Nothobranchius furzeri: one gene and its partner. The protein of the gene in region 1 interacts with the protein of each later gene in a pairwise test. Links are inferred from orthologs where the notes say so. Each region holds a gene or a part of one and is shown on either strand. Other genes may lie near its edges.

Region 1 (6,601 bases):
TTTGAATTTTGGTTAAACGGGTTAAAAAATTAGTTCAGATGATTCCTGGTGGGTTCTGTGGATAAATAATATTTTATCTGTTGTAAAAAGTTTGGAGAAACAAACATCAATTCTGGCTGAATTGATGGGCTAATGGATAGGCTGTGTTGTTTCTGCTGCCTAAAACAACTCTTATCTCCTAAATTTCACAACAGTTCATGCAAAAGTGGATTCATAAGATGTAACATAACCATAAATTTGACATCATCTGGTTGTTTACATTTAAATCAGTAGTTAGTTGCTACAGAGGTTAGCCGAGGAGCTAGCTATTGTAGCATTTTTTTTACATCGTGAATTTACATTAAGGGGAATAAAACCGCATTTGCATAAACTGTTGCATACATTTTCTTAACATTGGAATTGAAATAAGACACTTTGTAACTAGTCATTAGCTTATCAATCTGAAAATGAGGTAAAGCCAAACTGAGGTTGTAGTTTAACAGGTAAGATATTGTTTATAACGTGTCCATAAAACCCCAACTTTAAATATGGAAACTAGAAATGTATTTATTATCACCTTTCTGTTGTTTTGAAATTTAATTGTTAAAGGGACTTTACGGACTTTTGAATTTTTAAGCTTGCGATTGCCCCCTCAGGCCAAAAGCGTAACGGCAGCTTCAATAGTAGGCTCGTGCACGAGGCGCACATGCTGTACGTGCACACTCCTTAACGAGACAGTCATGTGTGTGTGTGTGGCCCGGAGGACAGAGGACAGGAGAACGCACAGCTAATCAATTAAATTATTTGGTTCTGTACCTTTCTCTTCAGCACAGCCGACAAAGGTTTATGATGAGTCAGTCCTCCTGCATGCTCAGATCATTCCCTTCCCTTGCTTGAAAAATTGTTCCAAAATGAAAGTTGAACCCACATCTTTTTTATCTGTGAATTCAATGCCGATCGGTGAGTCTCAAAAAAAATTGGGCGTCTTACTGTAAATTTACAGTACATTTACATTTAAAGTACTGTACATTTATATCCTTGATGACACCTGAAACAACGTCAAACCAAAGAACGGTTTGAAGCGAAAATGGTTATTTTGTTGCTAATTTGCAGGAAATATCTAGAAGAAAGTAGCTAAGGGACCTCAGAAATGTAGCTAGGTTTATCACTAGGCGTTAGGAACAGCGACAGAGACTAAAGCTACGGATAGCAAATGCTACGGGCGATGCCTGAGCGTGAATGCGCATGAAGCAGCCTGCTCGACCCGATCAGCTCTCTTTTTCTGTGATTTTACAGAAAAACAGGCAATAACAGTAAAAATGCTAGGGCTCATTCTACAGGACCAGGGCATTGCAGGAGAATGTATGAAGAAGAAATTTATTATTTCTATACATGTTTTGGCTGTCAAACTTCCTTATAGTCCCTTTAATGCTATACTGACACAAAAAAAATACAAACACACACACACACACACACACACACACACACACACACACACACACACACATCACTCCTACCCAATCAGACCATCTTGTCATTGCTGGCCACACCTTTACGGTCAAACTCAAAGAGAAATACCACTCACTTTTAGCTCCAAAACGTTCATAAGGCTTGAATGCGAAACTGATAATTTAGTCCCGTTTCTTCACTCAGCATGTCATGGTGATGTACAGCTCTACTGCTCACACAACGAGCAGGAAACACCAAAGATACAGTCCAGAGTGTTTTATTTTCTCTGGGATCAGGGGACATTTTCCACAGCGTGGAATCCATCACTCTGTCACAATAAAGACGATCGAGGAACAAAAAAAAAAAAGCCTCTTATGGCTTCAAAGAGAGTCTCTCCTCTATTTCGTTTTTCTCTTTCAGTGACAAATTACAGGCTTCATCTTTGAGGAAGAGCTCATAAATACTCCCTTCAGTGAAGACGGGGTTTAAGAACAGGAAATGTAAACGCTAGAGGAGTGATATCTCCCTTTAAGGGAAAATTCTCCCTGGAAAAGGTGCAACAGTAAGAAATGTTTTAATTGTAATACATTACGTCACTGGCAGTTTGTCAGTTTGGAACAGAGCAGAGTTGCTGGTAATTAAGCAACACACCACTTTCTAACATCTTGCATCTACGCTTGGTTGAGCTTAGGAATGCTACAGCGAGAGTCCACGGGGAGAAGTGCTTTAAATTTGGAAGACTTTTCTTTTTTTTCTTTCTGATGATCTCGATCCGGCTTTGTTCTTTCCGGGTTTCGTCTCCCTGCTCTCGGCACATTGACGACGTTTGTTGCAGGGCTTTATTTTGTGTGTGAGATCCAAAAGCGTGTGCGTGTGTGGAGATGGAGGAGTGTGGAGGAATGAGGGAGTACGGGGTCAGGGCGAGGGGACAGGCTTGTTCAGTCAGCCTCAGGATGAAGAATTGATCCGGGGGGGGGGGGGGGGGGGGGGGGGGGGTCTTTTGGCTCAGACGGAGAAACAGAAAAAAAACAAAAGAAGTCTTAGAAATCTGTGGAGAGAAAAGTGCTCCTTTGCTGCATTTGTTATAAAAACCCGTGAATGCATTAACGTATCGTTTTCTTTCTCAGAGCCTCTTTTCGGCAGCACCTTTTCCAGTTTTTTTCTTTGGATCTTTTAACTGATTGGCATTTCATGCCCTCTCACATCAAGCTGTCCTCCTTTTATGCTCTTCTCATTCCAGGAGTGTCTAAGTGCCTCGTTTGTCGATCCAATTCCTTCTTTTTTACAGTTTTGCTACATTCCCGATTTCTTTCAGGGTTTCTTTGGTCTCCCATTGCGCGGCAGATTCTCCACCGTGTTGCTGAGCCGGTACTTTACAATGATGCTGTGCACCGTGGACTTGGGCATTCTCAGCTCCAGCCCAATGGCCCCCTCTGACTTGCCGTCTTTCCAGAGGTCCACCACCCGCTGCCGCTGCACCACATCATGCTCCTTGGTCTTCTGGAAAACCCCAGCGGTGAACTGGCCCCCGGCGGCTCCACCTGCAGCTCCCCCGGTGGCCCCAGCAGCGGCTTCTGTGGGGGCAGACAAGCGGCAGACTGTAGTGGAGGCTGGGAGAGTGGAGGCAGCAGGATAATGAGACACTTTACAGGCTCCTGTAGAGATTTAGTCCCTCTGCAGGGAGGTCAGAGATAGAGCTACCGGAGCTGGTGGGGGCAGGTGCTTGCAGACCCATGCGCTTCACTCCATCACTTTAATTTAAGCACCTCTAAAAGACGAAGCTTTGTCTAAAAAAAGTGTGGGACTCCTTCAAGGCAGATACATTACTTCCTGATGGCAGAAATGGGGTTTCCAAAACTTGTCTGCAGATTTTGTGATACCCAACACAAGACAGTGTTTCTGCGGAGCGTTCAGTGCATTGTTGCACTTCACTGAAAATGCTACATCAGAAGATGATGTGATACCTTCACGGAGAGGCTAATTTCGGCCAACAAAAACAACCAAACAGCCACAAACTGACCTGTAAAACGTTGGAAGACACTTTCGTCATTTTTCAGCAATAAGAAGTGTGAAGCACAGTTAGCCATAATTGATCAAAGCCTGGGAGCAATGAACCTAGTGATTCTCTTGTGACTAGGATGCATTTTCATTACGAGGTACATTTTTCAGAGCAACACCAACAAACCCAAAGAAAGTTGACCCGGACATTACACTGAAGCCAGTTTCTCACTGGTCTGAGACATTTCAGCTGGAATCAGATTTAATAACAATGCGTCGTTATAAGTTTGGGTCATGTAAGAAAACTTGGTCACTAGCTCTTTCTCACAGGAACTGGACTGAGAACACCTGTGAGGAAAATTGTTGGGCTAAATATTTTAGATTTTTTTTAAGTGACAAATGCAAGGCCCTGCCTCTCGCTCGAGAACATTTGGAGACATTTTGGAAACTCCTTGGAGAACTCCTTTAACAATATGTGGTACAAAAGCCAAAACCTAGTTTATTTAGTTCATTTTTAGAGGATATTTAACTACAGAACATCTTACTTTTACGGAAAACAACACGGATGCCTGTACACTTAAATCTAAAGACTAATTCAGTTTGTTTTGTCTTTCTCTAAGCTAACATGGATACATTTTAATGTTCTCATTCACTGGGAAACCTTGTAAAACTTGTTCTTTATGGAATGCCACCAGTCACTTTGGGTTTCGCATGAATGCAGAATGTGAAAATAGTCCTACCTCTATTTCCTGCATTGGCTGTCTAAAGAAGATAGACGGAAAAGCGATAGGGTCAGAGAAAACCTTGCCCACCTTGGATTGCAACCGCAGAAGGTTTAACTGGTTTAGTAGTCAGAAGAAAGCAGAGCGTGTCTTGGTTTGCAGAAGCTAACCGTGCATTAGCAACCACCACAACATGGCGGAACACATCCGGGCTTGTTATATTTGTGGAGTTAACACATCACATTTTTCCCTATGAATGAATGGATGTAGCAGAGGCAGTGGAAGTGTTGGCCAATCAGAGAAGAGATGTCATTCATAAAAATGGGCGGGCGCCAAGGTTTACCATAGACATTAATACGTAGACGACCCATTGGGCGCTGCAGAGCGTAACCGCGCCATGTTGGGTGAGTTCCTCACTCTCTAAGTTCAACAGGAGTCAACACAACTATGCCTGTTTGTTGTGCACCCTACAGTAGCAGCAACCGGTGTACTATTAAAAACAGATCACGTGGGGTTACTGTTGACTTTTCTGGCCTACCTGCTGGGATTTTATATTTTTAGTTATTTTGTGTAAAAATATTCATAATTTAACTATCATGTCAGATTTTTTGAAAAAGCATAATGCTATGCGTTTTTTAGTTGGTTAAACACCTTCCTCAGTTGAAAAGAATGCACTGAGGACGACAGGAGACCCATCCAAGATGGCGGCCCACTGGTACTATAGCCATGGGGTGTCTACGTATACGATATCTGTGAGGTTTGCAGTCCTACTCATTAAATGCAAACGTGTTGCATCTGATTGGCTAACAGTACAGCACTTCTGTCTTGAGTAAAACGCCAACATTGATGTGTTATCTCCAAAAATAACACATGCTCAAATGTGTTCCGCCATGTTGTGGAGTTGCTAATAGGTAGCTAGCTTTTGCTGGCTGAGATGCGCTCTACTCTCACTTTCCCACGGTTGTAAGCTAAGGTGGGTGGGGTCATGAATGCAAATTTTCCATGACATAGAAGAGACTGGCTTTTATTGACCCAATTTTTTTGCTCTGTTTAGTTTCTGCAGTTAATGCGGGTGATAGGGGTTGAAGAATTTCACATTAAGCAAAATTATGCAACACAGAACGACTGAATGTACTTCAAAAAGAAAAGTATCACATGGTTTCTCAGTGAAGACCTTTAACTCATTCACTTCCATTGACTGCTAAAGTCGTCAATCCAAGGGCGGGCCTAGAAACGAGCTTGCGCACCTTGAGAGTAAACATTGTGGCTCTAAAGTTGATTTTCATCTGTGTGTGTCACATGTCATGTGATCATGAAGCTGACAATTCATGAATTAGGGGATCGTTTTGGGAGGCCACGATGCCTAAAGCGAGGCACAAACCGGAAAAGCTTCTGCAGCTCACACTTCAACAACGGATTCTGAAAGAACGGAAAAAGCTAGAAACACGCTGATTCTTCCTGATGTAAGAAGTGAGTCTACTCTTTCTTTTGGTATTTTACGTGTTCACAGAGCTCAGTATTCCGTGACTCTTCAAAAAACAGAAAAAATGCTTAAAAATGCTTGCATTCAGCGGCTTTCTGATCAGAAAACAGCTGGCAGTGAATGAGTTAAGGAGTGGACGAAGAGTCACTTCTGGCCTTTAAGCCACATGTTGTCGTTCCTTCTCTCATCGTGTGTGAACGTGAAGGGGTGAAAGACCAGAATGACCCCAACCAGGACCATGAACCCAACTCTGTACACCTTTGAGCCCGGCTCGGCGCGGTTCAGCTCAGGCACGGCGCCCTGGTGAGAAGAAACCACGGCTTGTTAACGACTATTTCTGAACAGCCAGCGCTGGGCCCAGCCCTGTGCCAGTTCACAAGTCACAACAACGTTTACACAACCAAGCTGCTGTGGTTTCTGTCCCTCTCAAAATACCTTGGTACAAAGTCTGAACGTTTTCTTGGCACGTTTGGACTCAGGCGGCCCGAGGATAATGACATTTTCAGCGATAGGCCCCGGCTCTCTAAAACGCAATGTTTCTGACAGATGTCTCAGTCTACAATTACAAAAGAAAATATAAATAATCAAGATAAAGTGAGTGAGCGGGCAGGAGTAGCTCAGACAGAGCTGGGTGTTGTGTTTTTTTTTATTTTATTTTAAATGTTTTTGGGGCTAAGCTACTGGGGGAATATCAGGTTGTACCAGTTATCTCCTCCAAACATCTCTGAACACGAACACGCATGCAGGGCAGAGCGAGCGTCTGGAGAGCATGTGCTGGTACCAAACTAATTAGGAGAAAATAAATTCACAGCGAGCTCTGACAGAACACAGGCAGAGAATATTGGGACGGGAGCCTGAAAAGGGGGGAACGTTTTGTTTTTGAGTCTTTAGCTATTTTATTTGAAAAGCAGAAGAAACCACGGCTTGTTAACGACTATTTCTGAGTGAACAGTGAGCGTTAAAATCAGAC
Region 2 (7,920 bases), on another chromosome or scaffold:
GAAACGCCAACAGGCACATTTTTACTTTTGAGTGGAATTTAAAACACAAATACAAAATTAGGGAAATAAAAATCGACTAAAGACCAAAAGATTAATTAGCCTATAAATCACATAAAAATAAAAATAAATCACACTGAAAGGATGCAGAAAAACAAGGGTTAAAAAGAGTTTACACGCTAGGAAAAAGAATGAAGCACAAAGAACGAAGAAAGGGGCTGAAAGGATAAAGACACACAAGTGGGACAATCAAGATGTAACAATGGCTGTAACAGGACAAGGATGAGTTACAACATGCCCTTATCTCGTCTGGTAATTGGTGCGTCCTCGGTTTCTCCAAGGTGAGAAAAATCGAAGTAACAAGCATCGAACACATGAGCACCTCCGCTCAACGTTGTTCTATTTACTGTGCTGGCTGGGAAAAGTAATGACAGGAACGTGACTCACTCCATTTACTGCTGGTGCCAAAGAGCTCCTTGTTCTGGTCCAGGTGTATTCTAGGAACTGCCATTCCTTTAAAATTACTGTGATCTGTGCACAAGTCTTGCATCATTGCTTATATTTTGCTTCCCAACTGCCAGACGCCCCTGTATTAAGATTCAAAGTGGTGATTATTGGTTTTTCAAGCTTTCTGAAGCTGCCGACGTCCAAAGAAAAACGTTCATAAGGACTTCAGAAAGTCTGGAGAAGAGCTGATTACGACTTTTGAAGTTAGACCAAGAAGGAAAAGTGTAAACAAATTAGAGGTGGATAACGTCACATTGCACCAATTAAATACTGGTACAAAATGAATCCTCCATAGCGCTTTTGTCTCACAGATCAATGGCCAAGTTTGTTCACATAGTTCAAGATTTTATTATACGTGAAAAAGCAAAACTATTGCTCAAAAGCAACTGGTGATAAGAAGATTTGCGTAGAAATAACATTTCATACTTTCAGCTGTTGTGTAGTTATGCCATTCAGTTAAATTCAATTCAAGTTTATTTATAAAGCGCCAAATCACGACAAGAGTCGTCTCACATAATAAACATTCCAATACAGGTCAGTTCATTAAGCCAATCAGAAAAAGGTTTCCTATATAAGGAACCCAGCAGGTTGCATCAAGTCATTGACTAGAAGTGAGGCTTCAAAAGTGACTTAGTGAAAGTCTAAACAACGAGTGTTTAAAATTATAACTGATAGTTCAACGAGAACCAATGTCAAAAGAAATGCTGTAGCTGCTGCCAGTGCCTCATTAAGGTCACCATGGTAACCATGCACTTGTGCGTCTCACTTGCTTAGAGCAAAGTTAATTGGAGACAGGCAGGAAAACAGCTTCAGAAAGAAGATTCAGACAAACGTTGGTGCTTAAAGAGAAGATGTCTTAAAGAAATGATTGAAGACTAGTTTATGAACTTTGATGTGTCTCCATGCAGGAGATGCAGCCCGTTTTGCAATGACAATTTTCAGCTAGAAAATACTTTTGTTCTGGGAAACCCTGGGTGTGTCCTCTCTGCAGTCTGGGGATATTTGAGATGAAACCATGAATCATGAAGCAGTTAGAACATAAAGATATCTATGTTCGTATCTACAACTCATGATACAACAACTGATGTGGAGGGAAGACAGTTTTCCCAAAATAATTTAAGGTAAATAGTAGTTTGTAAACAAAGTAACATGTATTAAAATGATCTTTCAATCATGGAAAGTTACTTAAGTTTTGATTGATGCTTCTACTGTAAAGAAAAGCATACCAGAGCTCTAGAACTCCAAAGAAAGGAGGGATTCTCTCACCTTTCCCCAAAATCCAGATTTTTTAAAGGGAATTTTCAGTTTTCTAAAATGTGATCGCTGTATGATGGAATGCTAGCATAAGTCGAATTTACACTCATCTCCACTGAACTGCAAATGTCAATGTATAATTAACATCTGTGTTTTTTTGCTAGAGTCACTCTTGAACACACTTCCCTCTGCCATGACAAATACTGACTCATTTACATTATTCAAGGCACACCTCAAGTCACCTACTCAAGCAAGCCTATTCCCTTTAGACTCAGGCCTAGTCCACACGTAGCCGGGGTTTTTTGAAAACGAATATCCGCCCCTCCAAAAACTTGCATCCACACCACCTCGTTTAAAAACAAACTCTGTCCACACGTACCCGGATAAATACGTTGTTAAGGACATGCCAGACCTGTAGGTGGCAGTACTTCCCCCGTTCTTAACCTCGTCCTTCGTCTGTGGTCTTCCACAAGGAGCAGTAATTCCGCTTGCAAAAACAAACAAGCAAAAAACGCTTGGACAATTGATAAAGCGAGCGCAGCTCTGAGGGCATCCATGATGCCGGCTAGTGTAAACACAGGTCGCACACGTGATGTCAGCATTTTTTGTCGCGGAAAGTGACGTTGCGGACCTTAAAACTCCGGTTTTGTCCGTCCACACGCAGACACCCAAAACGGAGAAAACGCAGATCTTCACTTTGGCCGGAGTTTTTAAAAAGATCCGTTTTCATGTGAAAAAACTCTGTTTTCGTGTGGATGACAGGCCAAAACGTAGAAAAATATCTACGTTTTGGCAGATCCCCGGCTACGTGTGGACAGGGCCTAAGATCTTAAAATGTTTGGATTTTTATGTATCCTATTTGCTCTTATTGCTCTACCAACCTCTGTGTTGTTTGTAATGATTGTATCCCTGTTTTTTTTACTTGAAGTTGTCCTTGGTTTTGAGAAAAGTGCCCTCGAATTAAAGGGGCATTATGGAAGTTTGACAGCCAAAACATGTATAGAAATAATAAATGTCTTCTTCTTACATACTCCTGCAATGCCCAGGTCCTGTAGAATGAGCCCTGGCATTTTTACTGTGATCGCCTGTTTTTCTGTGAAATCACAGAAAAAGAGAGATGCTCGGGTCGAGCAGGCTGCTTCATGCGTGTTCATGCTCAGGCATAGCCCGTAGCATTTGCTATCAGTAGCTTTAGCAGCAGAGAGAGAGGTAGTGCCACTTTGTCAATGTTTTTATTTGAGACTCTCCGAACGGCATTGAATTCACAGATAAAAAAGATGTGGGTTCAACTTTCATTTTGGAACAATTTTTCAAGCAAGGGAAGGGAATGATCTGAGCATGCAGGAGGACTGACCCATCTTAAACCTTTGTCGGCTGTGCTGAAGAGAAAGCTACAGAACCAAATTATTTAATTAATTAGCTGCGCGTTCTCCTGTCCTCCCCCCCCCCCCCCCCCCCCCCCCCCCCCCACACACACACACACAATGGACTGTCTCAGCTGTTATTTTCGTTAAGGAGTGTGCACGTACAGCATGCGTGCCTCGTGCACGAGCCTACTATTGAAGCTGCTGTTACACTTTTGGCCTGAGGGGGCAATCACAAGCATAAAAATTCAAAAATCCGTTAAGTCCCTTAAAGTGTATTATTATTATTATTATTATTATTATTATTATTATTATTATTATTAGAGTTGTGGGGAGGGGAGTACAGGGATTGGCCTGGCATATGCCAGTCTTGGAATCTGATTGGCCACCCCAGGAGCCACCTGACTGAGCTCACTGAAGTGGCTCATTAACCACCACAGCAGCTGCAAGAAGAAGAAGAAGAAGAAGAAACAATGTGGCGTTCATGAAATCACTTAAATGAAAGAACTGAATAATTTTGCCCCCCCCCCCCCCCCACACACACACACACACACACACACACACACACAAACAAAAAAGCATGACCATAGGTGCCACCATGCATAAACAAGTGCCCCACCAGGGGCCCCGTATGGAAAGGCTTGGGCACGCCACTGTTAGCCGGACCAAAAACAGAGAAAACATTTGTAACTGAATGACTGCAGAACAGTACTAATGGTGCTTTATTGCATTGTTACTCCTGATAAATCTACTTTCAAATACTCAGCAGTGTCTTACAACCTTTAATATATTTCTTCACGTCACCTCAAAGAAGGCATTAGTTTCCTGACAAAACCTCAATGAGCGGGGAGCTCTCTATCTCTCCCAGACATAAATTACGCCGGGCTTTTTAAAGTTGGTTGCTCAGGAGGTCCCTGTGGGATTCCTGCAACAATGGCCCTGTCACTCCCTCTCTGCGCTCTCCTTCCCTCGGTGTCCTCACCTCTCCTCCTCGCCTCTGATGAGCACTCTGGGATCTTGGCAGCGGTGACACGAGCTTTTATGTGAGAGGGAGCTGACGAATGAGTGTCACAGCCTCGAGGGAGCACAGCTGGACTGACGCCAGAAAATAAAGGAGAAAATACGCAAACACACATGCTCTCTAAAGTCACGTCTATAGCGTGCACCAGCTTCTGCATCCCTTTTGACTGTGTGGATGTGCAACAAGAATATGTGCTTTCATTTTACTGATCAGCAGCTGAAGATTGGATCTGCCTTTTTCAAGATGGAGAAACTAGTTTTCCCAATTGCATTCATCAGTTGGCGCATGTCGTCATGTAAGGAACATCAGATCAAAACTGTAAGGTGCCATCTGTTTCTACAGGGAAAAACATCCTTTGTTGCAGAGATAAGCTTCTTATGAAGTCGCTACATGGAGGTATCAGCCAATTGCTCATCAAAGAGCCATTAAAGGTCTATGACTCACAAATCCCTTAGCTCAGAGCGCTCCTTACAGTCAGTCACTGCAGTTAAAACAAATATAGAATCAGCCTTGTGTCGTTTTACAAGCTTTTCTGTCAGTTCTGTCCTTTTTCAGTGCTTCACTAAACCAAGCCATCTGAATTCTGCTTTTCTTTAATTTTTCTTTAGGGGAGTGCAAGTATGACTTCCAGGCCTGGGGGGAGTGTGATCTGGCGACAGGCAAGAAGAACAGGACGGGGGTTCTGAAGCGAGCACTGATGGACGCGACCTGCGCCGCCACCGTCACGGCAACCAAGCCATGTGGGAAAATCCTAAAGACCAAGCTGCAAGGTGAGAAGAATAAATCGTGGTTTGATAAACCCAAACCCCTCGCTGCACACTTTGAGCTCATCTGCAGCCTCATGGACTCGCTGAAGCCATGCTGATGAATCACAGTGTCTGCAAAACCGTGGCACCAGGGTCTGAAAAGATAATTGAGGTGTACTGCTCAGCATTGATACACTTTTAAATAATATACTTAATCAAATGTGACTTGGACATTGCTTGGTGTCTGACTGTACCTGCGGAACCTCCTGCACTGATTTTGTTTTCTTCATCTGCACTGAGGAGGTGTGTCTAATCAACTCTGCTGCCATTGGCTGAATGTGAGCAGGCAGTACAAACAGTCACCACATCATTCTGGAGCAGAAATGACTTTGTGCTCAGACCAAACAGTCTCATGAGTAAGAATTTATCACATAGGAGCAATCATCAAGTTTCAAGAAAAACACACTCATCATACAGAAAATAACAGAAAAAAAATCACTCCTTCATCTTCTAAAACTCTTCATCCTCAGCAGGGTAGTAGTGTCTAACTCCAGCAGTCAGCGGGTGAGAGATGTGGTACACCTTGGACGAGTTTCCAGTCCATCGCGGAGACAAACAACCAGTCACACACTCACACCAAGGGACAAGGAGTGCCCAATCCTGGTAGCCTGGCAAGGCATCCTATATATGTGAAAATAGAGTCCGGCCATGACCCATAAACAGAGCAAAGTCATGGGACAAAATCTAGGGTTGTCTTTCAAACTGTCTCCACATGCCATTGGACAATGAATAATGTGACGTACTCAACACTATGGATGTAAGTCTACGGGTCAGTCTACCACAGACTGTCAATGGAGATGCAAATACCTCCTGTATTGTGTCAGGCAGCACTGAGACATCTACAATTGGTCCAGAATTTGGCAGCCATATTCCAGACAGGGATGAGGAAATCAGCACACATTACTCCTGTGCTGGCTTCATTACACTGGCTCCCTGTAGGTTTTCGGGCTAGGATGAAATTTCTGTGCTATGTCTTCCGGTTTCTTCATGGGAACCCTAATGGAGTGTGACTAAATCGAAACGCAGAGCAAAATCATTTTGCTTCGCCTCCTGTCTGTCTAGATTTCTAGGCTACAATCCTGGTCCTAGAAGCCCACTGTCCAGCATGCTTTAGTTATTTCTGTGCTCCAGTGTATCTGACTCTATAGTTGAATCACCTCTTCAGCAGATCACAAGGTTCTGCAGAAGTCTGTTAATCACCTGCTGGTTAAAATCAGGTGTGTTGGAGCAGAAACACAACTAAAACATGAAGGATAGTGGCCCCTCCAAGAGGCAGGGATCGGTTTTTTTCACCGTTGGGAGGAAAGTGGAACACCTGGACGAAACCCATGTATAGAGGGGAAAAACATGCTCTCCATGGAGAAAAGCTGCAGCTGGGATTTGACCTTCTGACCTTCTTGCTACAAGGCAACAGTGCTTCCAACCACATTGCCACACAGCCCAGACAAAAATATTCATCATCTATCAGTGAAAAGGACCTCAGATAAGAAAAAAGGTTAAGTAAAAAGTTGCATTAAAATATCATCAGGAAATGTGAAAACAGTTCCAACTGATCCTGTTGCCTCCAAATTATGAGGTTATGTTCCTCTTAAAGATGCTCGAAGTTTGACTGGTTTTCCTCAATCATTGAGATTGTTGTGTTTCAACACTCATCACCCCTGAGGTCATTTAGGGTTCGGGGTCATCTCTCTCTCTCTCTCTCGTGTACACCCAATGGCACCCCCAATTGGTGGCCAGTGGGTGGCAATGGCCACCCCTAGAAAGTTGCTGGCCACCTCTATCAAAATATTCTGACTACACCATGTAGTAGATTTGAGGTGTTTCTCAATGCCAAGGAACCTTGTCTTGATGTTTTCGTTTATTGAGATCCTCATAAGCTTCTGCCTAAATGCAGATGCTAGTCTTCCTGGGGTCTCCTACATTTTCATACAATGTTTACATGATAAGCTACATAAGATGTCTTGGTCCTGCCCCGGTTGCCTAGGAGATACTCATCAAGAACCGCCAAGACGTGTTCCAATGTTCATGTTCTACCGAGGCGTGTGTTCTTCGTTCATTAGCCGTTTAGCTAGCTGAGCAAGGGTACATGGGAGGTGTCTTGTAGCCTAGCCTGATCCCAGAATACACTGAGGTATTTTCAAAAAGATGGCGGATCAGAAGCCGGCAGCTACTTCGGGAGCTAATTTCAAGTATAAATGTCAGTCAACTAATTTAAAATCTTTATTTATTTTTTTTAGATCCAAAGAAGCTAGCTATTGTTGGTTAGTTGCTTAGTAGATGCAGCTTTGGTGGCTAGCGGACAGTAACTCGCTTACATGTTTAATTTAATAAACATATACACTATTTAAAAAGTTAAATGCTCGTTATACGTTTACATTGAAACATATAAGTATAAAATATAATAGTTATCTCACGTGTCACGTAACGTTACATGACCTCCGTGGAAGCCGCGGTCACGTGATGCAAGTCTGATTCATTGAACCATTTTCTTTGACCAAGGAAGGACAGCATCCTCGTAAGCAAGGCACCTGGCCTCTCAAGACATCACCTTGCTGAGCCAGGCGCCTTGACTTTGAGAAACACCCTTTTTCTCTTTCAGTGTCCTTGATGAAGTATCTCTCTAATAATCTGAGAAATTGAACAAACTGGTTTAAACCAATTGACCTTACATTGTTTTCCCATTCGTTTGCTTTTTTTTCTGTTAATTACGTGCAAACATACAGGTTTTTTTCTCCATCAAGATCTCATGTAACTTTATTTGCTATGAACCTGTTTCCACAAAATCCCTCTCAGCAGGTTCGTCCTTGACAACTTCAGTACCTTCAAGAATGAGCTGGGATGTCACAAACAGCTTGTTTTAGCCACACGATTCCTTAAACCAAAAGAAAACAAATAGATGAGCTATTTTTACGTTTGGAGTGTTTATAGAGGCAGTAAAACCTACATAGCAAAAGGGGAGTTTTCTTAATAG

The links. The genes of interacting proteins can lie anywhere in the genome.
Region 2: the proteins of chd3 (region 1) and ptn interact in a two-hybrid assay, tested with the Homo sapiens proteins (2 studies listed by BioGRID and IntAct). The link is inferred for Nothobranchius furzeri from reciprocal best matches to the Homo sapiens genes CHD3 and PTN.

Annotation. Positions count from the first base shown.
Region 1 is NC_091742.1:58,679,329-58,685,929, forward strand, and holds the end of chd3 (chromodomain-helicase-DNA-binding protein 3), read right to left. Parts: intron 3,003-6,601; coding exon 2,740-3,002; 3' UTR 2,584-2,739; downstream 1-2,583.
Region 2 is NC_091741.1:42,129,688-42,137,607, reverse strand, and holds part of ptn (pleiotrophin), read left to right. Parts: intron 1-4,751; coding exon 4,752-4,913; intron 4,914-7,920.